Rhinolophus ferrumequinum: one gene and its partners. The protein of the gene in region 1 interacts with the protein of each later gene in a pairwise test. Links are inferred from orthologs where the notes say so. Each region holds a gene or a part of one and is shown on either strand. Other genes may lie near its edges. The genes, in order: CCHCR1, CCDC102B, STX11 and MIA2.

The links.
Region 2: the proteins of CCHCR1 (region 1) and CCDC102B interact in binary tests that used the Homo sapiens proteins (3 or more experiments, as listed by UniProt). The link is inferred for Rhinolophus ferrumequinum from reciprocal best matches to the Homo sapiens genes CCHCR1 and CCDC102B.
Region 3: the proteins of CCHCR1 (region 1) and STX11 interact in binary tests that used the Homo sapiens proteins (3 or more experiments, as listed by UniProt). The link is inferred for Rhinolophus ferrumequinum from reciprocal best matches to the Homo sapiens genes CCHCR1 and STX11.
Region 4: the proteins of CCHCR1 (region 1) and MIA2 interact in binary tests that used the Homo sapiens proteins (3 or more experiments, as listed by UniProt). The link is inferred for Rhinolophus ferrumequinum from reciprocal best matches to the Homo sapiens genes CCHCR1 and MIA2.

What each region holds. Positions count from the first base shown.
Region 1 is NC_046286.1:1,661,671-1,669,409, reverse strand, and holds the start of CCHCR1 (coiled-coil alpha-helical rod protein 1), read left to right. Parts: upstream 1-4,724; 5' UTR 4,725-4,806; intron 4,807-5,804; exon of another isoform or gene 5,805-5,870; 5' UTR 5,871-5,921; coding exon 5,922-5,937; intron 5,938-6,015; coding exon 6,016-6,217; intron 6,218-7,337; coding exon 7,338-7,641; intron 7,642-7,739. Other genes in the region: TCF19 (transcription factor 19), read right to left, coding at 1,179-1,416, 1,677-2,232, 3,253-3,490. UniProt on the Homo sapiens protein: May be a regulator of keratinocyte proliferation or differentiation.
Region 2 is NC_046302.1:53,808,384-53,815,267, forward strand, and holds the start of CCDC102B (coiled-coil domain-containing protein 102B), read left to right. Parts: upstream 1-3,867; 5' UTR 3,868-3,986; intron 3,987-6,884. UniProt on the Homo sapiens protein: During interphase, forms fibers at the proximal ends of centrioles to maintain centrosome cohesion. During mitosis, dissociates from the centrosome following phosphorylation to allow centrosome separation. Contributes to CROCC/rootletin filament formation.
Region 3 is NC_046286.1:88,729,529-88,736,976, reverse strand, and holds the start of STX11 (syntaxin-11), read right to left. Parts: upstream 3,005-7,448; 5' UTR 2,818-3,004; intron 2,653-2,817; exon of another isoform or gene 2,643-2,652; 5' UTR 2,530-2,642; coding exon 2,460-2,529; intron 1-2,459. UniProt on the Homo sapiens protein: SNARE that acts to regulate protein transport between late endosomes and the trans-Golgi network.
Region 4 is NC_046289.1:86,527,041-86,534,885, forward strand, and holds the start of MIA2 (melanoma inhibitory activity protein 2), read left to right. Parts: upstream 1-4,836; 5' UTR 4,837-5,041; coding exon 5,042-5,156; intron 5,157-7,187; coding exon 7,188-7,321; intron 7,322-7,845. UniProt on the Homo sapiens protein: Plays a role in the transport of cargos that are too large to fit into COPII-coated vesicles and require specific mechanisms to be incorporated into membrane-bound carriers and exported from the endoplasmic reticulum.

The DNA of each region.
Region 1 (7,739 bases):
TTGGGTTGGTAAGTAGGTAGGAGTAGAGAGGGTAGACATGCAGGTTGCAATAGACTACCAAGATAAGGCCTTTCCTAGAAAGAACAGAAACACTGCTTTGACGGTACCTTGGCTTGGTGTAAGGGTCACAGAAGGAAACCAGTGAACCGTGCATGGGTTAGGTTGATGCACACGGGACCAGGCCAGGGTCTGCTCTGGCTGGTTGACCAGCTCTTCTCTTCCCTGGCAGCACTAGCACCCTTGTTTTGTTGCGCTTCACAGATGTTGCATTTTCTACAAGTCAAAGGCAAGGCCCTCCACCAGTAAAGATTATGGCTCCCGTTAGTGCAGTGGTCTGAACATGCAATGTCTCTGAGGTGTGTCTGTACAAGTGAAGCTTGTAACAGTTCTGCCATCTACATGAAACTGACCAAACCCCAGCTCCCTTATTTTAATGGCATTGGGTCTGTTTTCCTTTAAAGGAGAAGACTTCTTACCTGGGTTCCTTTTTTCCCATCTCCCATCTCCAGCTCATCCCACCTATGTGCATCTCCCCAGTGAACGGGTTTGTATTTCTCTGCCTTTTCTGCTCATCTCCCAGGCCCTTAAGAACTCATGTTCTGCAAACCTTCCCAAGGCCATTCTCCCAAGAATTGGAAAGCATGAGTATGAGACCCACAAAAAGAATAAATGGCAGTGAATGAAGCTACTCTTTATTTGGAAATGAAAGCAAACCTCTGAAAAGCCAGGCTACAAACAGGGTCAGCAATAGGACTCCCCACAATATAAGGAAGTTTGGGGGCAGTGCTCTAGGTTTCCCCCAGAATGCCTCAGGTGATGCCATCCAAGAATGTTGAGAACTCACTTGTTAGTGTCTGGGGCTTACATCTTCCCAGGCATGGTCTCTGCAATTGACCAGAGCTCTGGTCACAGACATTCTAGTGTGAATGGCAGCCAGGACCTGGGAATTTCCAGCTCACTGGCAACTTCCTGCAGGCAGTGTTATCTTTGGCAGGAAACCATCTCTTCTGTCACGTTGGCCATGAGGGCCTGTTCTAGACCCATAGCAATGGACCCCAGCACTGTGGGCATTCCCTCCTGGGCAGGCAAGAGAAAGCAGTTCTTAGAACCCACTGGTATTCCCTCGTGTCCACCCATGGCCTGGAGGTGCCAGCTGTCTGGCCCCTTGGTGGAGGGCCTTAGGTCTGGACAGTCGCATGACACCCTGGGCACCGGAAGTCAGCCTCCCTGGCAGCCTGGATACTGCAGCCAACACAGGCCACGTGGAACCAGACGTCACAACCATCACACTGAACCCAGGCCACTGTCTCTTCTTGGGGCAGGAAGCAACAAGGGGCTGCACAGGGCTCCCCGGCCCCAGCAGCAGGGGCAGTCATGGTGCTCACTGGGTACTTCGGAGGACGCCCATGACGATTTCTAAAGAAAGTGAGAAAAACCAGGGTCACTGGAAACCTGTAGAAGCCTAGTACTTTACCCTGGATGATACCTGAACCTATGTAGACTCCCTAGACTAATGGTGAACCTGGTTAGGAGCTAAACCAGGTCTTGCCATTCCAACATCTGTTCTCTGTCCACCTCCTACCCCCCACCCCAAGCAGAGGGCCACCTCCCAACCTGAGGCTCTAAAAAGGAATCAAAAGGCAGTGAAACATTGAGAAAACGATCTCTCCACTTACCCACTAGATGTCAGAGGGGTTTTGTCTACTCGGAGTTTTTTCCTGGGCTCTCTAAGGACTAGTGGGGGGCTCTCAGGAGCCTCTCTCTCATCATCCAATTCTGCCAACACTCGGTGAGCCGATTTCCTCCGATTTCTTGGGGGTGGGGCAGAAGGGGCGGTCTCCACTGCCCCAGGGGGAATGGGAGCAGGCCGGCTCTGTGGCCCACCCCCAGTCCGTGAGAAGGTGAAGGGCTGGGGCTGGAGCTTGCTGAGGCTGCCAATGGAGTTGAGGATCAGCGTGGCTCTCGGGGCTGAGGCCAGGGTGCCGAGGGGGCGCTGTGGAGCCCCCTGTGGGGGCAGCATGGGCCAGAAACCAGCTCCTGGTCCCTCTTCCCTAGACCGTGGGACGGTAATGGCAGCAAAATCTTGAGGTTTGACATGGACTTGCTGAAACATGAAGTAGAACTCCGAGGGGCTGGTTCCTGGGGGCCCTTCAGGGCCGAAGGTCAGAAGGTCACCATCACTCAACTGCAGCTTGTGACCCCTTGGGAGTCGGACATTATTGACCAAAGTCCCTGTTGATGACGGGCACCAGACAGATACAGAGAATGACAAAAACATGACCAGAGTCAGGAGTAGAGAAATCTGGTCCTGTCTGATTTTCTGGGGAGCGTGAGGAAGAATATGGCACCTGTCATCAAATTCTCACATTCTAAGTCCCTCAGCAGGTGACATCAGATGTTAAGCTCTTTCTGAGCTGGGAACAAGTGTACTTCTTATGCCCTCCCACAGGACAAGGAGGGAACAGACCCCTTCCCTCACTCCACTGAAGTCCAGTTCTGACGTGCTCACTGTCTCCCAGCTCATTCAGCGGAGCTCAGACTGGGTCTGAATCCTGACTGCACCACTTGCCCACTTCATGACCCTGGAGAAGTTACCCTCTGTGCCTCATTTTCCTTGTCTAAAACGGGGCTGATGTTAATGCTCGTCCACAGTCAATGCATTTAAAACGGTGCCTGGTTCAATAGTAAGCGCTAAATGAATATCGGCTACTATAGTTACCTAATCCCCACCACACTCCCCAAACAGACCTTACAAAGCTTCCACTTTACCTAAGAGGAAACTAAGATTCAGAGAAATGAAGTGACAGGCCTGAGTTTTCACCTGGGGCCAGTGGCAGAACTCAGATGTGAGCCCAGGCTTTTTGAGGTTGGCTGTGACCACCTCCGAGTCAGGGAGTAAGACACATGCCCATATCATTAAAACAGTTCAGCATCCTAACTGCCTTAAGACAGGAACAAGGCACCTCAGCAAATCTGGAAACTGAGTCAGGCCTGAGCTTGGCCCCAGAACATCCCCACTGTGATATTTCCCTGCTGCCCAGGCTCTGGCTCTACCTCCCAGCCCCTGTATGAGCTAAACAGGGGCCACCAAGAGTCAGCCGGGCAGAGAGCTGCTGACATTGCACACTTTGGGTGAGAAGACAAGAGGTCTGGACTACAACCATCCATCCAACCTGACAGGGCGCTTGGGAAGCAGGCAGGGTCCCTGGGGAGCCCCTTCATCATCCCGGCCCAGAACGGCTCACTGCTCACCTTGGCTGCTGCAGTCCTCCAGGCTGACCCTCCAGGCATCACCCTGGCGCTCGGCGTGCAGCTCCGCGTGGACTCCAGAGATCAGGCCGGGCTCCTGTTGGGGCTTCAGGGCCACATCACACAGGTCAGCCCTGTGGCCCAAGCGATAGGTGCATCCAGCGCCGCTTGGGGGGTGGAAGGTGTAGAGATCACCGCCCCTGCCGCCTCCGACGCGCAGCAGCTGAAAGCAGGGCAGCATGGGCGGCGCCCCCTCGGCCCCACCTCTTCCACTTCAGGAATCCATCACCTTCCCCACTCCTGAGCCATGCACGGTGGCCCAAGTTCGCTTTCCGTCTGATGCAAACTTGAGCTATGATTTGTGCAATTTCAACTTTGAGCACACCCCCTGAGCAGTGCAAATTCAGTCCAAGGATCCTAAGCACGTGATGCAAAACTGGCTGTCAAGCAGCTTTGAACTGAAAATTCTGGGAAGGTCCCGGTGCAGTGCAAAAACGAACACGTCCTATGGTACTTTAGATGAACCGATCCTCAGTCTGCAAAATATTCGGAAAGCCTTCAATCTGTGCAAGGTAACATACATTCGGCAGCTTCTGGGGAACTGGGAACTGTAGGTGTGTATGGGGGCGTCCTACTTCTGTGCAATACTAACTTGTCGCCTCGATATAATTTGGGGAAAAGAAGCTTCTTCCTGTCAGACTTGCTTATCCAAATAGAGTAGCCAGCCCTCCTGCTCGCCCGCGCCTCTCTTTTCTGGCCAACCCCTCGCACATAACTAGTTAGCTTGAACCCCAGTGGAAAGTGATTCCACTGTCACCCCCTCCCAAAAGGCAGTGAAAACGGGTCCCTACGTTCTTTCGCAAAGTGGATCTAAATCCCTGCTTCCCGGCTTTTTCGGGTGAGATAATAACAAAGGAAAGAGCTCCCCGAGATCATGCAAGGCAAACCCAGCCTTTTGCCTCCCCGCCCCAGCTCCGTTTCGGATCTACCGCGCGGTGCAGTCTCGAAGTGGTCTCCTCTCCGGCAGTGCCAGCCTGTGCAGCGTTCCGGGACCCCTCGGGCTCCGGCCTGAGCTGCCGCTCCTGCTTGCTGTTTGACAGCGAGGAAGCCGGGCCAGGAGGGGAGCGGCCTACGCGCGCGGGCAGCTCCGACCCCGCCTTCGGAATTCCCCGGTCCGAATTTCGCGCCAGCGAGCCCGCCCCTCCCCCGTACCGTTCCTGATTGGCCAGCCCCTATGCCCTCCTCCGTTCCATTGGGCGGGGCGCTGGCAGGCTCCCCCGATGTCCCGCCTACCACTTTTTCTGATTAGTTCACAAGTTTTCCCGGGTTCCGGGAGTTAGGAGGCGCCGCCAGGGCGCGGAGGTGCCCCAACGTGGTAATTGGGCAGGGCTTTAGACACTCCTGCGCCTGCGTGTATCTCTTCCCCGCCCCCCCACTTCCGGTTTTTGAGCGGCCCGCCAATGGGTCCACTCTGCGCAAGCGCGGTCAGGGGCGGGACCAGCGCCGCAGCAAGGAGTTGGGGGCGTGGCGAAAGGGCAAAGGGGGTTCTCGTGCTGGGTGAGGGGGCTTTCGGGAAGAGTCAGTTGGGGGTGGGAAGGGGTTGAGAAGGGGTTTGGGTTGGGATCAGGGTCCCATAGGGGAGGAGGGGGTACAGGCGCCGGGTAAAGGAACAGATAAGGGGGTCAGAATAGCCTTAGAGCTCCGGGTATATCGGGGTGAAGACTCAGGGGTGTCTGGGGGAGTTAGGGGGGAACGGACTGAATGCCAGCTAGAGTAGGGAGAAGAGAGGAGGCTGTTGAGCTGAGAGATGAAGGTGAGAGTGAGGGAGCAGTGTAATTCAAGGAGAAAGCAGATTAGGATGTAGGGAAGGAGGGGGGAGGAATCCTAGATCGAGGGAAAAGTGGGTGAATTTGGGTGGGAGGGTGGGAGACCCTGAAGAGCCCTCGCTGTGCTCTAGGACGCTGAAGAGAGGAGGGTGGGTGGCAGGAATGGAAGTTAAGGGGATAGAGAAACTAAGAGGAAGTTGCTAGAGGGGTTTGCATGAGATGTCAGGAAGCTGGCTTTTCTGCCAAGGGATCTAGGCTGCCTAGATTCCCAGGGGTTCTGGGGAGGCGCCCTGCCCTACATGTGGCCACATTCATCTGGGGTCAGCTTGGGCCAGCGCTTTAATAGGGAAGGGCCCAGGAGTCATGGCTTGGTGGTGTCCGGATGGGCTTCCCCAAGGCCTGCTGAGCCATGGAGAGAACTCTGGAGACTGGGCTCACAGTCCCGGCACCACACACCTCCAACCAAGAATGGCAGAGACTATAAAAACCTGAGGAGGAGGGTAAAGGCACTACCCAGACCTGAAAAGTTTGAGTAAAGCCTAAGAGCTCCCTCTTAGCCTGTTTCAGTAAATTCCCTCCATCTCATGGTTATTGCCCCAGTTCTATCAGGGACCAGGTTGGGTGAAACAAGTGATCTTTGGGTATTTCCTACTTCCGGGAAGTAGAAAAAGAGGAGCTTAGAGTCTGGTGGACCTGGCTCTTATTTAAGGATAATGACTGTTATTTTAGGGGCTTTCTCTTTGGAAGGTGGCCTGAAAATTGAATTGGAGTGCCCTTGTTTCTCCTGTTGTCCAGGGGAACATAGATGGCTGGACACAGAATCTAGAGACTTCAAATAATGTGGAGATGTTTCGACCTTCAGGTCAGTGGGACCTGGCAAGGGGACTGGTGATTGTCTCTTCCTGGGAAACTGACCATCTCTGTCCTTGTGATTCCTCAGGTTCCACTGGGCTCATTCCCCCATCCCACTTTCAAGCGCGGCCCCTTCCTACCAAACCAAGAATGGCTCCCACCTGGGTCTCAGACATTCCCCTGGCCCATCAAGATGTCTCAGAGAGGCGGCCAGACAACCAGAAACCTCAAGTGATCATGTGGGAACGGGATGTTTCTGGCGATGGGCAGGAACCAGGGCAGAGAGGCAGGTAGGGGTCCGCTGTCACACTGTGTTCTCAGGCTGGCTTGCCAGAGACCCTTGCTTACTGAAATTTCATACCGTAGTTTGGTAGTTTGTTCATTTTTCCGTAAGCAATTATTGGTGCCTGCAATGCATAAATAATAATAAGGCAGCATGCTAGACGATAGGGATGGGGATAACAAAAATAAATAGGAGAAATCCTGATATCAAAGAATTTCAAGTCCTAAGGGAAGAGACCGATTGACCAACAGCTGATCGTAATAAGCATGATATACAAGGCAAGGTGAAGAAGTTCAAACTGAGACTGTTTTTGTGCTGGATGGATTCATCCTGATGGAGCACCGGCTGTGGGAGCTCACTGTGCTATTTGTCAATGTGTTGTCTGTAAAGATTCTTATTCTTGTTTCACGTATGTCTTTTCCCAAATGTACTGGAATGCCATTCTGCCGTTGTGCTCTAGCGTGGGATTGGAGACAGCGCTGCCTCGGACCCCATCAAATAGGAAGGAGCATGACGACGAAGGGGGAGCACTGCAGTGGGTGTCAGGAGACAGAGACACTCTGTTCCTCGTTTGGCACCAGCTAGGGGTCCTTTGGCCAGTCACTTAACTTCTCTAGGCTATAGTTCCCTGCTTAAAGAAAAAAAAAAACCCTGTGATTCTGGGCCCCAGTGAGGGCGCTATGCCAACAGCCATGTTATAAGCTGTAACTTTATGTGACACCAATAGCGCCGTGAGCGCGCTCTCTGCTCATCTCCCTCAGACTTTACCTTGCCCTTAAATCAGAATTCAGAAGTCTCTGCATGTACTTCCAACCTCTCTAATTCAGAATGTGTGCACTAATGATGTGCACATTTCATGTTTAAGACATCCTTGTGTGTAGCTCCAGAGGCCATGTTCCATGATCTCAGCCAGTCTAGGTCCTTTGAGCCCCGGCACTGGACCTTCTATGCTTAGTAGGGCCTCCATGGATGACGAGGGTGCTGGGAATGCAGAGATCCCCACGGCCCAGCTTCATCCCCCCGTCTCCTCACATAGGAGCAGAGGGATCTCTTCTGTCTCCATTTATGCCCTGGCCACCTTCCCAGCCTCAGAGATAGGTCTCACCTGTGCTAACCTGTCTTTGCAGGTCCGTGGAGCGGCAGGGGTCACAGGCCCTGAGCCAGCAGGCTGAGCTGATCTCTTGGCAGCTGCAAGAGCTGCGGCGGCTGGAAGAGGAGGCCCGGGTCCTGCGGGAGACCTCGCTGCAGCAGCAGATGAGGCTGGAGGCCCAGGCCCTGGAGCTGGAGGCTCTGGCACGGGCGGAGAGGGCCGGCCGAGCTGAGGCGGAGGGCCTGCGTGCCGCCTTGGCTGGGGCCGATGTTGTCCGGAAGAACCTGGAAGAGGGGAGCCAGCGGGAGCTGGAGGAGATTCAGAGGCTGCACCAGGAGCAGGTGAATGTGGGGGTGGGAAGAGCTCGGCTTCATAGTGGGAAACTGGGCAGTAATTTCCCGGCAGAGAGCAGGAATCAAAGAAAAGCAGTGGAGTGATG
Region 2 (6,884 bases), on another chromosome or scaffold:
GCAACCATGGTCCTGGCTCCTCCTGCCTTTCCCAGTGTGGTTTCCATCTGAATCGTGACCCTACAATCAGTTAAGGAATTCTTCTCTATCTTCAGCCTCCCAGCCTTGTTCAAGGAGGAGGAAGAAGAAAAAAGTGAAACAATGTGGTGGCATCCATATCAGGAAGACAGAACTTTCCACAAATGCTCATTAGGCTTCCACTTATGTATCACCAGCAAAACTGTGCCATGGAGCTAAGTGTATTTGTCATCGGAGTCTTGGTATAATAGTATAAGCTTTTTTTTTTTTTAACTGTCATATTGTTGTCCCAAATAAAAATACAATTTATTTTTGTGGGGAGGAGGCAGAGAAATTATTCCAGGTTAGCAAACAGTAGAATTCACAGGGAGAACTTGAGATGTACAATGAAATTGGAATCCACACATGCACACAAAAATCAGCCCATATTGATGTGTGTTCAGTGCCTTGTGATGCTGGCAACTTGCCAACAAGTTATGAGAACTCCAAGGCTGAATTTTCTGTTCTCTTTTCCTTATGCTCCTATTACTTGTTATGGGATATGTAGTGTTAAGGTAATGAAGAGGTTTGTACCTGTGTGTGTGTGTGTGTGTGTGTGTGTGTGTGTGTGTGTGTAAAAGGGGGTGGGCAGAGAAAGAGAGAGTGAGTGACCATGGTGGCAGTGTACTCTGAACTAAGATGGAGACACTGGATCGCTTTGTTTCCATGACACTGGTAGGTCCCACACTGTCGGTAAACAGCATTGGTGATCCAGACTTAGCAACAAGGACAAAGCAAGACACCTACTCTACTTTCTGACCCTAAGAAAGTGGGGTTGTGGGGGTGAAACAGAACCTTAATTTGGCAAAGCTTCTGTTGAGACAGTGTTCTCCATATATATATCCCGATTTTCCTGCTCAGTGATTTATACACTTGCCTGTAAAAAATTGATGTGGTGAAACAAAAATCTGATTGGTGTAGGTTCAAGAGATGGAAGGAAATGAAGACAGAGAAACAGACAATTCTTTCAGGTTTTACTACATATAAAAGCAAGCTATTATATTTGAAGGATAAAAAGGTGTGAGGGCTCAGGAATAACAAAAAGGTTGCTAGCTTGAGAGCCTGGATGGATGGTAGTATCGCTACTTAAGGTTGAGAATACAAGTAAAGGTTTTGGAAGAAATATGAGATTTCGCTTTTGAAGATTATTAATGATTCAAATGGCTCCCTGTGAATGTTCTCATTAGACTGTTACAAATACAGATCCAAAGCTTGATAAACTGTTTTGGGCTGGCCATATATATTTGGGAATTTTATGTATATTACTGTATTTGCTAGTGTTCCATAACGAATCACCACAAACTTGGTGATTAAAACAACAGGTATTTATTGTCTCACAGTTCTGGATACTAGTACTCCCAAATCAAGTGGTCAGTGGGACCATAACCTCTAAAAGAGAGAGAAACCTTCCTGGCCTCTTCCTGGATTGTGGTGGTTCCCAGCAATCCCTGGTTTGTATACGTATCACTCCAATCTCTACCTATATCTTCCCACGGTGTCCTTTTCTGTGTTTCTGGATCTAAATTTCCCTCTTCTTGTGAGGACACCAACCATTGGGTTAAAGCCCACCCTTATTCACTGTGACTTCATTTTAACTGGGTTACATCTGCAAAGACCCTATTTCCAAATAAGGTCACATACACAGGCACCAGGGCTTTTTAGGGTTTGCAATTGAACCTGCAACAATGCGTATGACAAAAGAAGGCACAAAACACATGGGGTCACCCTGACAAAGGATGTGGGGTGACACTAGGACCAGCGATTGTTACTTGTTGGTATTGCACCTTGAAAGGAAAGGGAAGTAATAAAGGACGGGGTAAGTACATGGCATGGTCCACAAGACAGAAAAAATAATCCAGAACCGTTGAATTCTGGCAAATACATTGTGAAGAAGAGATTTGATAAGGGGTTAAAATCTTCAGAGATCTGAATTTGCATGAGTACTAGAAACAGACCACCGTCACTCTTGCTGAAGATGTAGAGGGACTAGCATGAGGGCAGGTGGATAAATTAGGAGGACATAGAAATCCAGATTATGACGGTTGCCTGAACTGGGCATAGTATTGAAGGAAAATCAAAAGGCAGTGATGCTGGGTTGGATACAGAATCGAAAAGGAGTCAAGGAAGGCTTCCAGGATTTTTGTTAGTAAACCATAAGCCTGGTTGGCATTATTCAGATAAACAACACAGCAAGTTCACAGAGAAACGATGATTTCAGTTTTAAGTATGTTGATGACATATGTGTGGTATTTTCTAGTGTGCTGATGCACATGAGTGTTGGAGACTCAGAAGAGGATTGGATCCAAATGTTGATAATTTGGAGTCCTCAGCCAAGAAAGATGATCATTGTAACCATGATAATGGGTGCCATTATCCAGGGAGATAACACATTTACATGAGAGCATACCTGATAGACGCCAGGGGTTGGAGGGAAGAGAGGCAACACCCCAGGGAGCGGGGGAGGCAGTGGCAGTGATCAGCAGGAAGACCTGGAGGGTGTCGTGCTCAGATCAGAGAACAGAATCTTCATGTCAGCAGGATTGTGAACAGCATCAGAGGCTGTGTAGATGGCAAGTAGAGTGAGGACTGAGAGGACGCTGTGCAAAATATGCACGTGCGTGCGTGCGTGCGTGCGTTTGTGTGTGCACGGGTGTGTTTCCAGAGACAGTCACGTTGCCGCCTTAAAGGGAGTAGGTGGCCTTAGTATGGATGCTTAGTTGGAGAGAGCTCTTTGAATAATTTGGAGAGGAGGGAGAATGGTTGCTACAAGGAAAATGAGCGAATTGAAAGTGAAATTGATTGACATAAATGAAATTGAAGAATTTATGGTGTTTAAAATATCATGGGAACATCCAGACAAAAGGGAGAGTTCAAAGAAAGGAGAGAGAATGGTGGGTGATCATATTCCCTGAGAAGACGGGGGACAGGAATCCTCAGTGGATTCACTTTCTCCTGCAGAGGGGTCTCCCTCTCCAGAGGAAGGAGGAAAGGATGCTGTGAAGCCGAAAGAGATGATGCAAACGTTGTTCAGCTAAGAATAATCCTCCAAATTGAGAAGGGAGGAGGCATACACTAATTTTAAGACATGAGCTCCCTGACTTTCACATGCTGCTCTCATGCTATTAACAAGGAGTGTAGTGATTGTGTCTCTTCTGTCCTCTCTTCTTTGCGCATTCGGTGCTGTTCGTTTCAACCAGAGAAGCTGTCTTTTATGTGGTCTACCATCACTCCTCCATCAGAACACTTCCTGACAGCTGTGTCATGTCACTGGGAAGTCAGTCCGTGTTTTCCCCCCAAGGAAAGGGGCCAGACAGCTCTGGCTGGGGGCTGTGGAGCTTCCAGATCCTGCCAGCATGACTGAAATCAGAGGTTTTATTAAATGTTTCATTAAATTTTTTTTTTCTTTTTTAGGGGGGGCAGTATAGAAAAAATCATGATAAAAACGATGATATTTTCTTTTGTTCCTGTGATTTTGGGATCGTGGCAGATAGAAACTTTTTTAGGTTTTTTTTTTGCTCTGCCATTTTCCTGTTTCTATTACTATTACAAGCTATGCCTATTGTTATTAAACACTGAACAAATTTGTGGATGAAGGGGCGGGTGTTTTCTTTTTTATCCACAGTACATCGTTTCCAATGGGTTGTATGCAACATGTTGGCTAACCATACTTTGTTAGGGAACGCTGAAATGATTTCATTTTGGTTAGCTCACTTGTGATCCACAGAGGGTGTTGTGGTATTGGTTTTGATAAAACTTCACAACCAATGGGAATCTTGTTCGAGTTAGTGTGGAGTGGCCTTAATGCTGGAAATAATCCTGTTGGCCAGGACCCCAGAGCTCCACAGATGAGAAAAGGATGCAGGAAATTCTGTTGTTTATGCATGTGTCTGTAACACTGAGCCGCTAGAACAGCCCAGCAAGCCCAGAGGGTAAGATGCTTAATAACCTTGTGGTTTTCTACTTAATTTTTATATTTTCCTGCTGGGGCAGAGCATGTGTTGTTCTCGGAGCAGAGAGAAGGACAGTTACTTGTAAGATGCAGAACAAAACTACTGTAGGTCTGGGAAACAGGGGGATTTGGAGTTTCTGCTAAAAGTGGATTTGATTTCTTCCCTCCCTCTTCCATTTCCCACTGTTGGCATTATGTATCCTGACAGCTTGTCATACATTTCCTGTCTTTTAAAAAAAACTGTATACTAAACAAAATTCAGGTAAGAATTTCACTCTAAATTAAGACAGCAATATGATATGTGGGTATTAAAACCTTGTTTGGTAGTTCCAAGTGGATATAAGTTATGTGCTTGAAGTAATCTATATTGTTAGAGTAAAAACAAAGTAAAATTGTTATGCAAACCCTCATACGTTACGCTTCATGTACTTAGAGTTGTTTTCATGCTGAATTCCTGTCATTGTTAACTGAAAAGCATACTTCAGACTTAGCAGTAATATTGATTTCTTTATATAAATTACCTGGGTGGTGGGAAGGAGATAGGGACATAGAATAAAATAATGAGATCCTGTGCATAATAAAAAGGAAACGGATGCTTAACTCTATAGACAGTGCTTATAGAGCTGAAGAAAAAGGGATCTCTGGAAACCATTGGGCAGTATTTGCTTATGTTTCCTGCAAAGATAAATTATAAAATGAATGTTGAGTGGGTGTCTATTAAATAGAAATATAAGGAAGATGTTCTTAAAAACATAATTAGAAACATGTAAGTAACATATGGTATTGAAATACACAACGCTATTTCTTGATATTTTCATTTACATCAACACTAATTTTTCTACTTTGTAAAATCATGTAAACACCCTTTTGCTGATATTTTGTGGGATAGGGTGTTGTTACGACTTCTGATTAAATGTTTTGTTGTTATTTTATAGTCAAATATCCTCACGTCTACATTAAATGTTCTTGAATTCTCATTTTTATCCATATTTTGACATAAGCATTAGATTACAAAGAAATCTCGAAAAGCTAGTGATACAATATATTTATGCTTTGTGTGATGTTGCAATATCAATTTAAAATATCAGTGTGTGTATGTGAATGATATCTAGAAAGAAATGTTTGATATGAATTACTTTTCATTCAAAACGTTACAAATAGTTTTCTTGTGAAATAACAGATCATGTAATGGTTTCTGTCTTGCAGTCTTCATTTGTTTTCATTGGATTCAGTAACTGATTGATCACTGGGACAGAGCTTCTTGGTGCCTCACTATGGGTGTGGTCTCGCAATTTACGAGGGTTTCATCCAATTATTAGAGTCACAAACATAATGGCAGTAATTCTTTAAAATTGAAAATGATCTCAGGCCACTTCTAGTTGAAGAAGTATCCTGCCTCTTATGCTGATATTACAAGGTCAATTGGATTCTGCCATAATGTGAAAATCTTCAAAAATTCCCTTTTTAAAAAGATTTTAGAGAAGGCTTGAAAGAAAAGTCTGGCTTTCTGAACTTAGCCATGAAAAATCAGTGGAACTTGGGTAGTTGCTGGGAAGCAAAAAGACTCTTCTACTTTGTAGTAGTTGGAGCAAAGGGTGTCGAGGCATCAATTAAGACAGAGCAGAGAAGGAGAGATGGGTTCCCTGCCTCATTGAGGCAGAAAAAACACCCCTTTGTGAGAAGCAGACATTGAGCTCCATGGAAAGAGCAGACAAAATCGTGGAGCATCTGAAAATGCACAGAGTGATTTTGTCCTCTGTATGATACAATGGGGGCGATTGTAAATTTCTGAAGAGATGGAGTCTTGTGTCCCTTTCCTCCTCCGCCTCCTTAGTAATCATCACCTCCATTGTCGTCATCTTGCCAACACATGATCATGTTTCCTATGTGCAACATAATTTACATACATGAGTACAATTTTGAAAGTCGTGCAATCAAATGAATTTTCGTTTTGCCTAGTGTCTTCCTCTTACACATGAAGGAATCTGATATGCAGAAACATGAAATGATTTATTTAAAGCTGCGGAGAGAGTAAGTGCTGAAGCCAGGATTTCAAACAATGTCTGTCTGGCTCCGGAGCTATTTCCACTATGTTGCACTGGTATTTTAGGAATGTCAATCCGGCCTAAATTAAGCAGGATGGTTTGGAATGGGTGTTGGGATAACAGAGTGCAGGAAGGAGGCGGTGAGAAAACGGCAACCATCAATTCCAACATCTGCAAATCCAGGCTAATCGCAATTCTCTCAGGTGGTCCACTCTCCTTTGGGGATAGAAAGAGAAACTGATACTGAAAATAAGCTTTTTACATTTAAACAGGCTGTGCTGACATTCAACTCTTATGCTTTTCTCTTTCTCATTTTCTTGAATGTTGTATTCAAAGAAGACAGCTTTGATGTTTCAGGAAATTTAATCACTGATTTTTATCGATATTACCAGAAATGAAATATGTGAGGTGCCTGGCAATAATACTGGGAACACAGGGGTTTCCTTTGTTTCTTCTTGATGTGTGATATGAATGAATGCTTAGTGACCGCACTTTCTTAAAATTATGGAAAAAAATTATTATCAAAGAGAAGTATCATCTAGGCTTTATTTCAGTGGGTGAAGAGCATTTATAAAATATATGCTGATATAAAATATATCAGTATGTAGTAACATACTGATGTTACTACAGTATAGCCATAGTAAAAAGAATAGATCCTAGTTATTAAAACTTTCCCCCTTTACAGCCAAACTTTAAACATGCTATTTCACTTTCTCTCTAAATAGAATAGGACTAGTATCTAGAATGGGACTCATTTTATTTTTTTTCTGTTTTTCATTGTTTTCAGTTACATAAAATTACCTTATATTAATCTATGCTGCCATTTTAGCAAT
Region 3 (7,448 bases), about 87 Mb from region 1:
ATATCTCCAGCATATGTGCAGATCTCTTCTGTTTGCCTCTTTAGATCCACTTTCTGCTTTGCTCCATCCTACTCTCGACCCTGGGAGGTTGATCTGAATGGACTTTGGAAACAGGCTCCTAGGCCTTTAGACTTCTTTTGGGCTTGACCAATAGGGAACTCGAGCAGGAGAGCAAAAGCAGGGGATGAGGTCAAGGCATTTATTCCGAACAGAAAGCCTGTCTGTGTCCCTCTTATTTAAGGTGGTCTGTTCTACACGATTCCTCTCCTTCCTGGTTCTGAATACCTCTCCCCATTCATGAGTCTCAGGCCTGGGGTATGCCAGCCCAGGGGTCCCTTATGGTTCCCACCCTGTTTGCATCTTTATAATAGTACCCTTATTAATAAACCTTCCTTGAATTGTTCTAATTTGAATGTGCTATCAGTTTTAGGTTGAGATCCTAACTGACACAGTATCCTTAATTAGTAGGTAAAGGACAGTGTCCAAATCCTATTCTGAAAATTTTATACCTATAGTCTTTATAAAAAGTGTTCCTTGATGATAATATCATCTCCTGAATTCAATCCACTAGTTAGCTGTATGAAGAAATCATGTTGTATGTCATCTGATATAAATTTTTTTCAGATGTACTCAGGCTAGAAAAAATATTCTCAGATTCACAGGCAAATCTTCTTGCATATAGCTTCTCTACATAACGTGTAATCTTTGGAGATATAAAACTAAGACTCTATAAAGTATATAGGTTAACTTTTAAGGGTTTAAATAGTTTGATATCTAATAATATTTAAATTCCCTCTAAATGTGTGAGGAAATCTGTACCTCAGTACTGCAAACAAGCCATCATTACTCAATCCACCCAGCTTACCGGAGAACAGTTTCTAACCCTGTGCTTAGACTGCAAGATTGTGTCCCCCTCAAATTTATATTTTAAAACCTGATCCCTGATGTGATATTAGGAAGTGGTGCCTCGGGGTGATTAAGTCATAAGGATGGAGCCCTGAAGAATGGGATGAGTGTCCCTGTAAAAGAGACCCTAGACAGCTCCCTCACCCCTTCTGAGATGTGAGGGCAGTGAGAAGACGGCCAATGACCAGGAAGTGGGCCCCCCCCCAACACACACACACACACACACACACACACACACGCGCGCGCGGAGTCGGCCAGGGCCTTCATCTTGGACTTCCCAACCTCTAGAACTGTGAGAAGTAAATTTCTGTTAGAAGTTCTGTGAGAAGTTTGTAAGCTGCTCGGTTAGATATTTTTGTTACAGCATAGCCCAAATGAACTAAGACACCTTTGAAGCTCAGGATTTCAATGTACAATTATTAGCAAACATCAGATCATTAAAAAATATAAACCCCAGAAAGCTAATACCAATGTTAAAGATAACCAACACTTATTGTTCGGTTATAATGTGCTAAGCACTGTTTTGACGTTTTCATATATTATTTCATTTAATTCTCATCAGAAATGTATGAGGTGTTCATAATTCAGCCCCATATGACAGAGGAGGAAATCCGTCCTGTCCACTCCCCCAACCGCAGCAAGCAAAGGATCCTGGATTCAAATCCTAGTGTCTGACACAACAGTCCAAGTTCTTAAACACCAATAAAGATTCCAAGAACAACATCAAAGACCACAGAAGAACCAAAAAATGAGAACTTTTCAAAGCAAATGATTTCTTCTATCCTGTTACCTACACTCAAAGAGCAATGTCAAAATCTAGGTAAGCTTAGAAAAATTACTCTAAAAGAAAAAAGAATGCAACACATAACTCTCATAGAAAAGCAAATTTTTTTGTTGTTCAATAAGCTTATTTTTCTGTGCATGGTATACAAGGAGGGGTAGAAATCAAGTGGTGAACATTGTATGATTTTGGTATTAAATTTTTTTCCTGCCTATAATTCCTGAAATGATACTGTTGCATTCTTATTTTAACCCAAATGGCAATTAAGTGAAAACTTTCCTCTTACATATTGGCATATACTGACCTGAAGTTTAGCATGTACTGGGTAATTTATGTATACAAATAGAATACTTTCTGTAAAAGAGATTGGGCCGAAACAACCTGATCTAGAGATAGTAGAATTGATCTGCTTAATAGCTCTTAAGGGAAACCAATTTTTCTGCAACTGTGATTTTGCATAACAAGTTGCAAAAGTATTTTAAGATGAGACTCTTACTCAATACTCACTTCTCGTAAACCCTTTTTTGCACCATGGCCCTGTCCTGCGGAACTGATAAAAGTGAAACAAGAGCATCAACAGAAGGTAACCAATAAGCCGTGCCTGTCACAGATAATAGTTTAGTCATAAGCCTTTAAATATTGGGTTTGAATTTGAATCATTAATTTAGTTCTCAGCAAGTGTAATTTTCACAAAGAAGCTAAACAGTTTTACATCCATATGATTTGTGCTATCTGTTTAGAAACTATGTATTTCTACTCCCAAAATCCTTACTTTGGGGCTGAGACACGATTTTCTTTTCGTTTTCCTCTTCATCCATTTCATCCCCTTGCTGCAGCTCCATGTCTTTTCTTTATCTGTCTTCCTTTTCCCTTTTCAAAGGGATGGGTTTCTTCGTTAAATACAGTCTATAATTTCTGTGAGTTTGTGGACCACAGCCAGCTTCCCTCCGTGACCCTAAAGAAAACTTAAAAATACAATATTGGCACCACAAAAAACAAGCATGTTTCAAATGATGACTACGTGCTTTAAGATGAACTTACTAAAGGTAACCGTGAAAACAGATTGCAATCTGAGCAGTGAACTCACACATTCAATGCACACATTCAACAAAGTCTTTCCTTGAGCATACCTGCCTTTGGGATGATGATGTTGTTGAGACCTTGGAGAAGCTGACAGATGTTCCTCTCCTTTCGCCGCTCTTTACTTGTGTCCCCTGAGCATGAGGAGGAATCTTTGCCTGACACAGCCTTGCATCATTAGCTCTGGATGTTGAAAGCAGGCCACTCCAGCTGATTTCTTTAAACCGTATTTTCTATAAGTTGGTGATGCGCAAAGGAGAGTTATGAAACAGGAACTTTTGCCACAACACTACATCCCTAGTCACAAGGAAACATTTACAAAATAAATGCTCCTACAAATCAGAATTGATTACAATGCAAATGTCAGTGGGGGACATAATCTATTCACACCTTATTTCTTTCATGGTCCTAGTACATCATCTCTCCAACTTCGATAATGAGCGGACCCCTCTTCAGGGAAAAGAATATATGGCACCCAGGATTGACAAATTATTTCTACTCTAATGTTACCTGAATATAATATATATACAATGTTATTTACATAGACGTGGTATAAATGTCTATGACTACAGAATATAAAATCCAAACCAATCTACACATTAAAAATATAAAATCAAAAATATTAAAATAAACATGGATTTAATGTTGTTTTGATGAAGTAAAACGAAAAATCTTTAGTTTTTTTTAAATAGAAAAGTGCATTGGGGTTTTTTGTATTTCATTGATTAGCTATATTATTCTCTTTATTTTGAGGATAACAGATACTCATTTAAATGATCCTCATCATACTATGACTTTTTCTTTTAAATATATATTCACCTCGAATCATCAATCCTTGGATTTTTTTTTCAGCTTTATTGAGGTATACTTGACAAATAAAATTGTAAGATGTTTGAAATGTGTAAAGTGTGCGACGATGTATGTATACACTGTGAAAAGAGTCCCACCATCTAATTAACATATCCATCACCTCCCATATTTATCTTCTTTTGTGTGTGAGAACATTTAAGCTTTGCTCTAGTAGCAAATTTCAATTATATTATACAGTGTTAACTATGGTCAGTATGTTTACATTAGATCCTCAGACCTTATTCATCTCATAGCTGAACACTTGTACGTTTTTACCAACCTCTTCTTATTTCCCCCACCCCACCTCCTGGCAGTCAGTTTTCAACTGTTTCTATGAGTTTGACTTTTTCTTTCAAGTCCATATATAAGTGATACCATGCAGTATTTGTCTTTCTCTCTCGGGCTTATTTCACTTAGCATAATGTCCTCCGATTCCATCCATGTTGTTGCAAATGGTAGGATTTGCTTTTTTCTCATGGCTGAATAATATTCATATATATATATATTTACATATATATATATATCAAAAAAATGTATACACATTTTAAGAAAGGAAAAAAACTATTAAAATAGTATATACTGATAACAAAAGATAAATACAAGTCACGTTTGACTGCTGCAATTACAAGAGGTGCTCAAAGTGATTACCATCAGCATCCAGACACTTCTGATTATGACGAACTACTTCTTGTGCAACATTGACCAAGTGTCCACTTGTGTACATTTTTTTGACAACCCTGTTATATATAGAGAGAGTGCCAAAAAATGTATACACGTTTTATGAAAAGAAAAAACTATATTAAAATTACTCTGATATATATATATACCGTGTTTCCCCAAAAATAAGACCTAACTGAAAAATAAGCCCTAGCATGATTTTTCAGGATGACACCCCCTGAACATAGCCCTAATGTGTCATGGAGCAAAAATTAATATAAGATCCGGTCTTATTTTCAGGGAAACATGGTGTGTATGTATATATATATATATATATATATATATATATATATATATATATATGTAGTAATATATATATACATATGTGTATATATATACACACACATATATATTATGTGTATACATATATATGTATATACATATAATGTGTATATATTATATGGACATTTAGGTTGTTTCCATATCTTAGCTATTGTGAATAATGCTTCAATGAACACGGGAGAGCATATATCTTTTCAAGTTACTGTTTTCATTTTCTTCACATAAATACCCACAAGTAGAACTTTTGGGTCATAAGGTAGTTCTAGTTTTAATTTTTTGAGGTACCTCATACTGTTTTCCATAGTGACTGCACCAATTTACATTCCCACCAACAGCGCACAAGGGTTCCCTTTTCTCCACATTAATGGCCAACACCTATTATCACTTGTCTTTTTGATGATGGCCATTCTAACAGGTGTGAGGTGATATTTCATTGAAGTTCTGTTTGTATTTCCCTGATGATTAGCGATGTTGAGAGCACCTTTTCATGTACCTGTTGGGCATTTCTACATCTTCTTTAGTGTGAATGAAGAAGGGGCCACATGCTAAACCGACAAGCTCAGGGGAGGTCAGCATGGTGAGTCCTACAAACTCAGAGACTGAAATTAACTATATAGGATGGTCTGGACATAAAAATTCCTAACTAAAAGCGGGTCATGGCAGGTTGTCACATCCTTGGCCTGTCGCTTCCTTCGCAGGTCAATCTTGACCTTAAGTGAGCCTGTCTGTTGTCTTTTTTGCATCTAAAATAACATACCCTTGGAATGTCAGAGTAATCCCTTTTTTTCCAGACCCCTCAGGACACAGCCAACTTCACCACAGCCAACTGGGCTCTAATAAACTCATTAAAATTCTCTACAGGTTTGGACGTTTCTTATGTCAACATTAGGAAATGTCTGTTCAGTTCCTCTGCCCATTTTTTAATCGGATTGGTTTTTTGTTGTTGTTTTGTTTTTTTGATTGTTTGTTTGTTTTGCTATTGAGTTGTATGAGTTCTTCCTATATTTTGGATATTCACTCCCTATCAGATATAGAATTTGCAAATATTTTCTCCCATTCTATAGGTTGTCTTTATGTTTTGTTGATGGTTTTTTTTTGAAGTGCTAAAACTTTTTAGTTCGATGTAGTCCCACTTGTTTATTTTTTCTTTTGTTGTTTTTGCTTTTGGTGTCAAATCAAAAAAATTATTGTAAAGACCAATATGAAGATTACCCCCTGTGTTTTCTTCTAGGAGTTTATGGTTTCAGATTTTATGTTCAAGTATTTAACCCATTTAGAGTTGATTTTGGGGCATGGTGTAATATAGAGCTTCAGTTTCATTGTTTTGCATGTGGCTGTCCAGTTTTCCCAACACCACTTATTGAAGAGACTATCCTTTCCTCATTGTATATTCTTGACTTGTTCTAAATTATTTGATCATAGATGCATATGTATATTTCTCAGCTCTCTGTTCTGTTCCATTGATGTATGTGTCTGTTTTTATGCCAATACCGTATGTTTTGATTACTACAGCTGTGTGAAATAGTTTGAAATCAGGACATGTGATGCCTCCAGCTTTGTTCTGTCTCAAGATTTCTTTAGCTATTTGAGGTCTTTTTGTGGTTTCATACACATTTTGGAATTATTTGTTCTATTTTTGTGTAATATGTTGTTTTCGCTTACTTAAGATTCTCTCTGTCTTTAACTTTTGACAGTTTAATTATAATGTGTCTCAGTGTGGTTCTCTTTGGATTCAGCCTGGTCCTGTTACTGTAGGCAGAAAGAACTAGGCAGAAAGAGCAGTGTGTGGGGAGAGAAGGGTGAGACAAAGGAAGGAGGAAATGAGGTCATTCTTAAGAAAAGGTGCAGCTACAGCTAAAGGTAACAGATTACAATAACATTAGCATTGCAGGCCGGGAAAATTCTCCACCCCTGTGTCGCCATGAAAGTTCCCACAAGAGCCAGTAAAAACAAGGGAATCCCACCTCCCAACAGGAAGGAGTGGTCAGCAAGGATAGCAGGGACCCACCCTGGGAATACCTATGACACCAGCCCTAAAACTTGAATAGTTCATACTCTCATTCAAATACAACCCTAAGCCTCTTTGTTCTTTGGTGCAGTTGCCCTCCTCCTGGCTGGCCCACTTCCATTATTTTGGGGAGTGTACTCTTTTTCTTTACTTCAATAAATCCACTGCTTGCTTGGCTTTGTTCTCACGACTCATTCGATTAGTCCTTGAATTCCTTTCTGGGATGATACAAGAACCCTTTTTTTTGGTAACATATGGTTATAATGAGTCAGTAATTTTAAAACTCTCCGTATAATAAAATACCAACATATAAGTCTAATGTAATGAAAATGTCTTTAATGAATATTTATGATTATATTTAGTGCTAATGAATTGAAATACTGTATGTGATACTACATACACACATGAATGTGGTAGTAACTTTGAAGGTACAGATGGAAAACGCACAGGGTGAGCCCCGTTCGTCCCAGCTTATTGCTTTGAGAGAGTTTCCAGCACATGGCACGGAAAAGAAGAAACCAGGCAGATTCCCTGAGTTAAGGAGATGAAGATAAATGTCCAGGGAGATGAAGGTGATTAAAATTCGTAGGAAAGAAAGAGAGAGAGAGAGAGAGAGAGAGAGAGAGAGAGAGAGAGACCCCAGGAGATCTGCTCCAAGGAGTCACAGAGATTTCTCAGTGCATGCATGTGAGAAAACTACCTGGAGCTGGAGCAAAGACACCTAAAAAGATTGGAAGGAGCAGTAACTTTCGCTCACACAGGCCATAAATAATGCCTATTCCCACTAGCCATACAGGAAAAGCCTCATAATTCACTGGGTAGCGT
Region 4 (7,845 bases), on another chromosome or scaffold:
GCCGAAATTGTATTCTATAAACTTAAATTTTTAATTATTTGGAGGAGGCATACACATTGCTGATATTTTTGTGAATTAGTTAATTTTTTTTTTCTTAAAAAAGCTTGGGAGTTTTTTTAAAAAAGCTTATGAGGTACTTAGGGACATGGACACCAAAAAAAGCAAGAAGATACATAAATAAGAGGGTAGCAGTAGGGAGTGAAGGAGGAGGATTCTGGAGGGGAGGGTTTAAGAGCATATAAGATTGACCCATGTGGGTTCTTAAAAGACATTCAGGGGCGGCTGCAGTGCTCATAACACCAAGGTCGCCGGTTCGATTCCCACATGGGCCAGTGAGCTGCGCCCTCCACAACTAGATTGAAAACAACGACTTGACATGGAACTGATGGGTCCTGGAAAAACATACTGTTCCCCAATATTCCTCAATAAAAATTTAAAAAAGACATTCAGGTTATTGGTAATTGAAAATTAGTAGGAATATTAAATATTTCTGTATTGTTGCTCATTAACTTACTCATATGTAGCAACTTGTCAAGCACCCCTTATGGTATTTGGGAATCCAAAAGGTTTTTATAGCTTAGCTTGCTGCATATCTAGAGTTCTACTGCTGCTACTGATGCCAAGCCAATAATAAAGATAAATAGGGGATCCAATTCTTTTTGTCAGAACTTTTTTTTACAGAAGAGAAAATTTAATCAAAAGGTTACTTGACTTTCTTTTTGAAATGAGAGAGCAGTTGAGCTACACAGCTGAAGATAGAATTTCATTTAGTCATGAGGCATGAAGAGTCTTGCTCGAAAAGAAATCAATTCATTTATTCACTCATGCATGCATTCTTTCATTCATTCAATAAAAAGTTATTGAGTGATGTATTTATTGATCTAACCTAAGAGACTTGAAGAATAAGTAGGAATTAGCAAAGCAAGAAAGTGAAGTTATATGATAAAAACACAAATAACGCCATTCCCTTCCTTAAAACTTTCTATGGCTTCCCATTGCACCTAGAATAAAACTCCCATTTCATTTCCACAGCCAAAAGTCCCTGGATGATTTGACCTCTGTCTTCATTTCCTAGTTTATCTCCTACCACTCTCCACCTGCCTTTATGTTTCTTGATTCTCTATGCCAAGTTAGTTTACACCTTAAAGCCTTGTTTCTGACATCCTGAAATGTATCCAAGATGCCTCTGTTTTTTCTTTAAATCTTTGTAAATCAAACTTCAGACAATGAAGTATGACCTCTTCATTAATTCTTCCCTCTGCACAGAATGTTCTGCCTTCGTATTCCCCCACTGTAAGTCTATTGTCACTCTCCCGAGATGCCTTCCCTGAAAAGTTTGTCTAAGTAGACACTTTTCTCCACAATAACTTATTACTACCTGCAATTATTGTGTTTACTTATTTGTGTGCTGGTTCTTATCTGTCTCCCTTCCTTAGCATGCAAGGTCCATGAGAGCAAGGACTTTGTCCTGTTCGCTCCTGTATCTCCAGTCCCTAGATTGGTGTCTGACACATCATGGGCCCTCCATAAATAATACCCATCCTGGAAGATGAGATTTGTATGGTACAAAGTTGGTGCTCAACAAACATTAAATCTCTTTCCTACTTCCTGATAAGACTAATCAGCTCGGACCCTTGCTCAGCAAATATCACACAGGTATCATCTTGGCTGGATAGCTTGGCTTGTTCCATACTATTATTCAAAAACACACAGTAAAGGATAAGGACCGTGTGTGGGGTTTTCTCTTTTTGTTCCTCCCAATCCATTCTCCACTCTTTGCCATGTCCTGCCATCTCCTTTTTTTTTTGCATCTGTGGGTCACTAGCTTCTGAGGTTGGGTCCTCTAGAAACAGACACTAAAACAGAGTTTTAGTTTTACGGGATCAACACCTATGAAAAGAAGGGGGAGAGACCCGGACTGGGCAGAGGGGAAGTTGAACTGCAATATAGGCTCTACAAAGCTTTAGTCAACCCAACAGGGAGGGAGCTCTGGAGTGAGGCGTGCCTGCCAGAGTGTCTCACATGAAGCTGAAATGGCCCTGTCTTTGTACTTCCTTGTCATTTACTCACTAGGTTCACTAGATCACCTAGGAAGGGGTAAGGTGGCTCTCTGCAACTGATGTAGACCTTGGAGTGGCTGCCAGGCAGAGGCTGTCTGCTAACTGCATTTCCCGCAGCTGAGCAGAAAGTCTTAACTTGAAGAGGGTGTGTTGAGAGCCATCTCCATGTCTTCCACACCAGTTTGAATCTCAGTGTCTCCTGGGCCTTGTCTCTCTGTGCATGTATCTACCATGGGAACTGTTTCCAAGCGCTCTGTTCTAGTGCCTCTTCACTAGTAAACAACAACAACAACAAATCCAGCTTCATCAGTTCAAGAAGTTCTCCCAAGTAACTTCTAATCAAATTTCTCTTTCTTATAAATTACCAGAGTAACAGGCAATTCGTTGAAGGAAATATGCTCCCACTTTAGGAAATGTGAGATATTACGAGAGAAGATAGTACTATACAGTATCAGAAACAACATCACCAAGAAGTACAAGAGCAGCATTCATGATTATGTCTTTCTATTCTCATGAAAAGGGATGCTCTGTGATATCATCTCTCAGACACTGAACATGTGGGTGGCTTTCATGATTCCTTCTTTAGCTTGATGCAGTAAGTTCTCTTACCTCCTGTATGGTTTCTGAAGGATGCTGTAGGCCTTCCAAACCAGTATTCCTGAGTGAGTGTTACCATGAAACCTTCTTTAGCAGCAGTACTATATTTTAATATTGACACACACTTGATTTGCAAAATGCATCAGCCAGATAATATCTGGCTAAGTTAATATGACTGTTTTTACAGTGAAAACTGATACTTTATTTAAACTAAATACTCTTATCTCTTGCATGCACTTCCTCTTCATTTGGGTTTATTAGATAAGTTAACATTGTGCTACTGTATTTTCATATATAATTTCTTGTTAAATTATATTTAAGTAATGAGTTGAATATAAAATTAGATCACCTGAGTGCATTAAGTAGCAAGAAAGTGGGAATATTTCTAGCACGTACCTTAGGAGCAAATCTCTCCAGGATGGTATCTTAAGCAAGGATTTTCTTCTCATTTTTCTTGAATCAAATCTCATGTAGGCCAATCAATAGACAAACTTAAATTTATCTGGGTTCTTTTCTCTCTTAACTTAGAACATAATTAAGTCAGTTAGTTCAAAATTTAGCTGTAGTATCTTTAATGTTGAATACAAAAAAGGATAAAGTACATTAATTATTGAATATTCTCAATTTGATATTATAAATTACGCAAATTAGCTGAAGAGCTAATCCTGTTTTAAATGTCTTTGACAACTTATATATTTATAGATTTTCAAAAGCATTCAAGAAACCAACCTATACCTCTTTGAGTGTGCGTGTGTACAGCTATGCAGTACTCTGATTACAAGCCAAATGATCTGCAAATTCATGCCATATTAGATTCTTCCTAAGGACATAAAAATCTTTGATTTGAGAAAGCAGGCTTCCTACTAATTGTTGTTTTCGGAAAACAAGCAAAAAAGAAGAAAACATACTTCCTTTTTTTAGGACTTTGAAAGCAAATGTCCTTCACTTTAGCTTGCTCAGGTGCTGGATATTTGTCTCTCTTATGTCAGGCACTAGAGGGGAGTGTGGTGTCATACATACAAGAGCTACATTCTGCAAACCACACACACGCTGGCATGCCCAAATACAGGGGAAAGCTACAGCAAAGACGGGCTTAGAAAACTATTTCCTCAAGATTGAAATAGGACAACTGCGATTTTCAAAAATCTACTGAGATCTAGTGTTATACAAAAAATTCCCAATATAGGGCTTTGATCCCTTTTAAGTGACAATAGCATTCAAATAACTTGTTTGCCTAACTTTATTGGTATTTTTGAAAGGATATATGCTCGCTGATTTTTAAAAGAAAGTCCAAAACTATGGAACAGTACAAAGAAGAAAGTGAATACAAGTTGAAATCACATCATATAGTTCCATTGTATGGGGGAGCATTCTTTCAGACATCTCTAACTCTCTCTCCATTTATAGAAATATGCAGACAATTTTACATACATGGAATAATACTGTACCTGCTCTTTCTGGAATAGAACTGTTGCGGACGATATCTTTCTGTGGCAGAAGTAGATATCTTTCTGTGGCAGATGACTGGATTCTTGGTAGGAAGGCATGGTGGTTGTAAGTAGGGGGAAACACAGTGCCTAGGTTTAAGTTTCTTCTCTACTAACTATGTGATGTTGAAGTGATTTAACCCTTCTCTATGTACCTCAGTTTCCTCAAATACAAAAATGGGGATGATAATATTACTTACCTTAGAGAGCTGGTGTGAGGGTTAAATCAGATCACATATTTAAGTGTTTAGGACAGTACCTGGCACATAAGTACTACTACATTTTAACTAGTATTCTTACCTAAATACAAGATTCAACTTCATAGTAACACTGAAATTTTTTAAAATATGAAAGTGGGATAGTTTTTCAAAATAACTTTCATCATGATATTTCAAAAACTTTTTGTGACATAAATTGTTACTGCTTCTACATGTAATAATAATACGTACTTTCTCCATTGATGCTGATATTTGCATGCAGCAAATACTCAGTTTGTACTTATTGACTGACTTACCTGAAGTTTTTAACAGAAAGAAATGATCTATCTTTTCGTAGAGGCTTGTTTAAGAAATGTTGAACGCAAGGTGCCTTTAAGAGAGACAGTTTCACATAGGCCACCTTTATAAGACATGAGTCCAACTAAAAATTCCTGTTAATTATTAAACCCCAATGTATTATCTGGATACCTGACACTGCAGATTGAGAACAGACAGTGTTTGTCTCGAAAGTTAAGCCTAAATACCGATAGAAAAATGTAGTTTTCAAGGGATTTCTTTAAAAAAACTATACCTTTTTCTCTGGTATTTAGAAAAGAGAGTGGGGTATCTCCTGTTTTGGGAGGCCATATCTACAACCTATATGGTTTAAACCTCATTTGGGATTCTTGCTTGTTTTAGCATGGCGGAGCTTGGAGTTCACAGAATCCTTCTTTTGGTTATTTCTCTGACAAAGTGTCTGGAAGGCACAAAACTGCTGGCAGCCTTTAAAAAATGTGGTGACTTGGAATGTGAAAGTAAGTTTGCTTTTCTTTTTTTTCTTTTCCTCTTAAATTGAGGCTCTGAAATGAAATAAAATGTTATTGTGGACATGCATGGTAAAAATGAGCATTGATATCATTGAGAATTATTTATAAAGTATAGTTCAGTAAAAAAAGAAAATGTTGAAGACATTTTGTGATTTTTTTTAAATGTAAATATACAAAAAGGCAAAGATCAGCCTGATGTATAATTATGTCAGAAATTATCAATATATTAATCCAGACCTCAAACTTTTACTATTTTTTAAGATAAATATAATTGATTTATATTAGAAAAGATATCAAGCCATTTGATATTTCTTGATTTATGAAGCCCCGATATTTTTCAGTTTCTATTTCACAATCAGAACTTTCTGATTCTCATGAGTTCTCTAAAAATGAATTTATTTCAAACCATCAGGATATACTGTCTAAACTTTATCAAATATTAATAATTTCTAAGTTCACTAGTTATATAAACATATTGAAATCAGTGTTGGCAATATATAATTTTATTTATACCCTTGAATATTCAACTTTATATTCTATAAAGGTATATTAATGTTATTTTATTTATTTATTTTCATATATATTTTGATTTTATTACAAGATATTTTAAATTTTTGGCAGATACAATTGTGACAGAAAACCAGCTTCACACACAAAATTAATCTTATTTTCTTGCTTAAGAACTTAATTTATTTTCTGTTATTAGCATTCTGGTGTAAAATGAATTACATACTAATATATTATAATTGCTTTAAATAAGGTTTATCTCTCCAGTATGTGAGAATTATTTCTGATTTGCAATATGTAAATTAAAAATGGAAAATATTATTAGTGTAAACAAATAATTTACAAGCAAATGTTTTATGAGTAAATATTTTCTTTAACCATTCGGATGTGTAATTTAATATGTTGAGGTTTACTAGATAATGTTTTATAATAATAATAATCTTTCTTTCCCTCTTTACAACCTCATTTTAGTTACCTTAAGGCCAGACGCAGAACATGGAATGAGAATATTCAAATTTATAATGTTATTTTAACTTTGATTGCATAACTTAATTAAAATGTTTTACATATATTAATATAATTATAAGTTAATTTGGTATGTATATTACTGTATGTATTAAATCTAGCATATGGGTTATGATCATTCATAGTTATTGAGGGCCTGTTATGTGCTGAGTCTAGATGGGGGGGATGAATCTAAGAGAATAAAATGAAATGTTAAGATAAGTTTCTTGACCTCCAGGAATTTTCATTCTACGGAATAAGTGAGACAAGATATTGATTAATTAGTAAACACTGATACAACCTAAGGATAATAGGTAATACTGAAGTTCAGAGAAGGGGCAGAGTAAGCTAAACGGATTAGGGATGTCTCCCAGAGGCAGTAGTTATGAGTTCACCATGAAGAGAAACCGAAGGGTTTCTAGGTTTAGGAAAGAGCAGAAAGAAAAGCTGGGAATACAGAAGATAGATGATACAGCGAAAAGAACCTCAGTGCAAATCTTGGCTCCACCATTTGTCAGGTGAGTGACCAATTCTCTGAGACTTAAAGTCTCATTTGTTAGACTGAGATGAGATGAGATTATTTACCTCATAGGTCTGTTTTGAGGATTTAATAAAATAAAGATATAAAAGAGCTTAGTATAATGGCTGGAATACATAGGTACCAGGAAAAACATTAATTATCTTTTCTTTCCCTTCCCTATTCACTGGAAAATGATAATGACACATTCCAGGGACAATGGATAGAGGAAATTGACTGTAAAGGAATCAGAGGATGTCATTTTAAATAGGGTAGGAGGACCAGGTAATGGACAGCTTTGGATACCGAGCTAAAATGTTTTGAATTGATTCTGTGTGCAGTGAAAAGTCTATGTAGGTTTTTGAGACCATAAATTATATAAAGAAAATTAGCATGGAAATACATAGGATGGATTGGAAAAGAGCAAGATGGGAGGGGGAGAAATAGCATTTTAATTTAAATTGTGTGTTTTTCTTTACATGTTTACATAGCGTTAATAAGCAGAGTCTTAGCCATAAGAGATTACAGAGGAGCTGACTGCCGATACCTGAACTTCACTAAGGGAGAAGAGATATCTGTTTATGTCAAACTTGCAGGAGAAAGGGAAGATTTGTGGGCAGGAAGTGTAAGTATCTAGTCTTAAAATCTGAATGCAGAATAAATGGCTAGCTTGTACAAGGATGCCTGCTTTTCATCTCTAAAGGAACTTAAAGAATTCCAAAGTACTTTTTATACATTTTAAAAACCCTTACCATATTTAAACAAACAAAAATGGTCTTGTTTCAGTATTGGTTCCAGAATATCTATGAAGTAGCTTTTGGGAAGGCAGTCTGGTTGGCATGGAGAACTAAGAGTGCTTTGAGATTATTTTTACATAGCATTCGTAGTTTTTGAACGTAAATTTTTATATTTACTTGGAGAGACTTTAGAGGTGCCCATAGAAATTATGGGATGACCCCAGCCTTCCCTTGCATCCTATGGTGCTGCCAATGGCCAAGTTTAAGAGAGACTGGGACCTTTTAGCTTATCATATTAAAAAGGCACATCTTGGGGTGACTTGTTGGCTCAGTTACTTAGAGTGTGGTGCTAATAACACCAAGGTTGCCGGTTCAATCCCCGTTATGGGCCACTGTGACCTGTGCCTTCCTT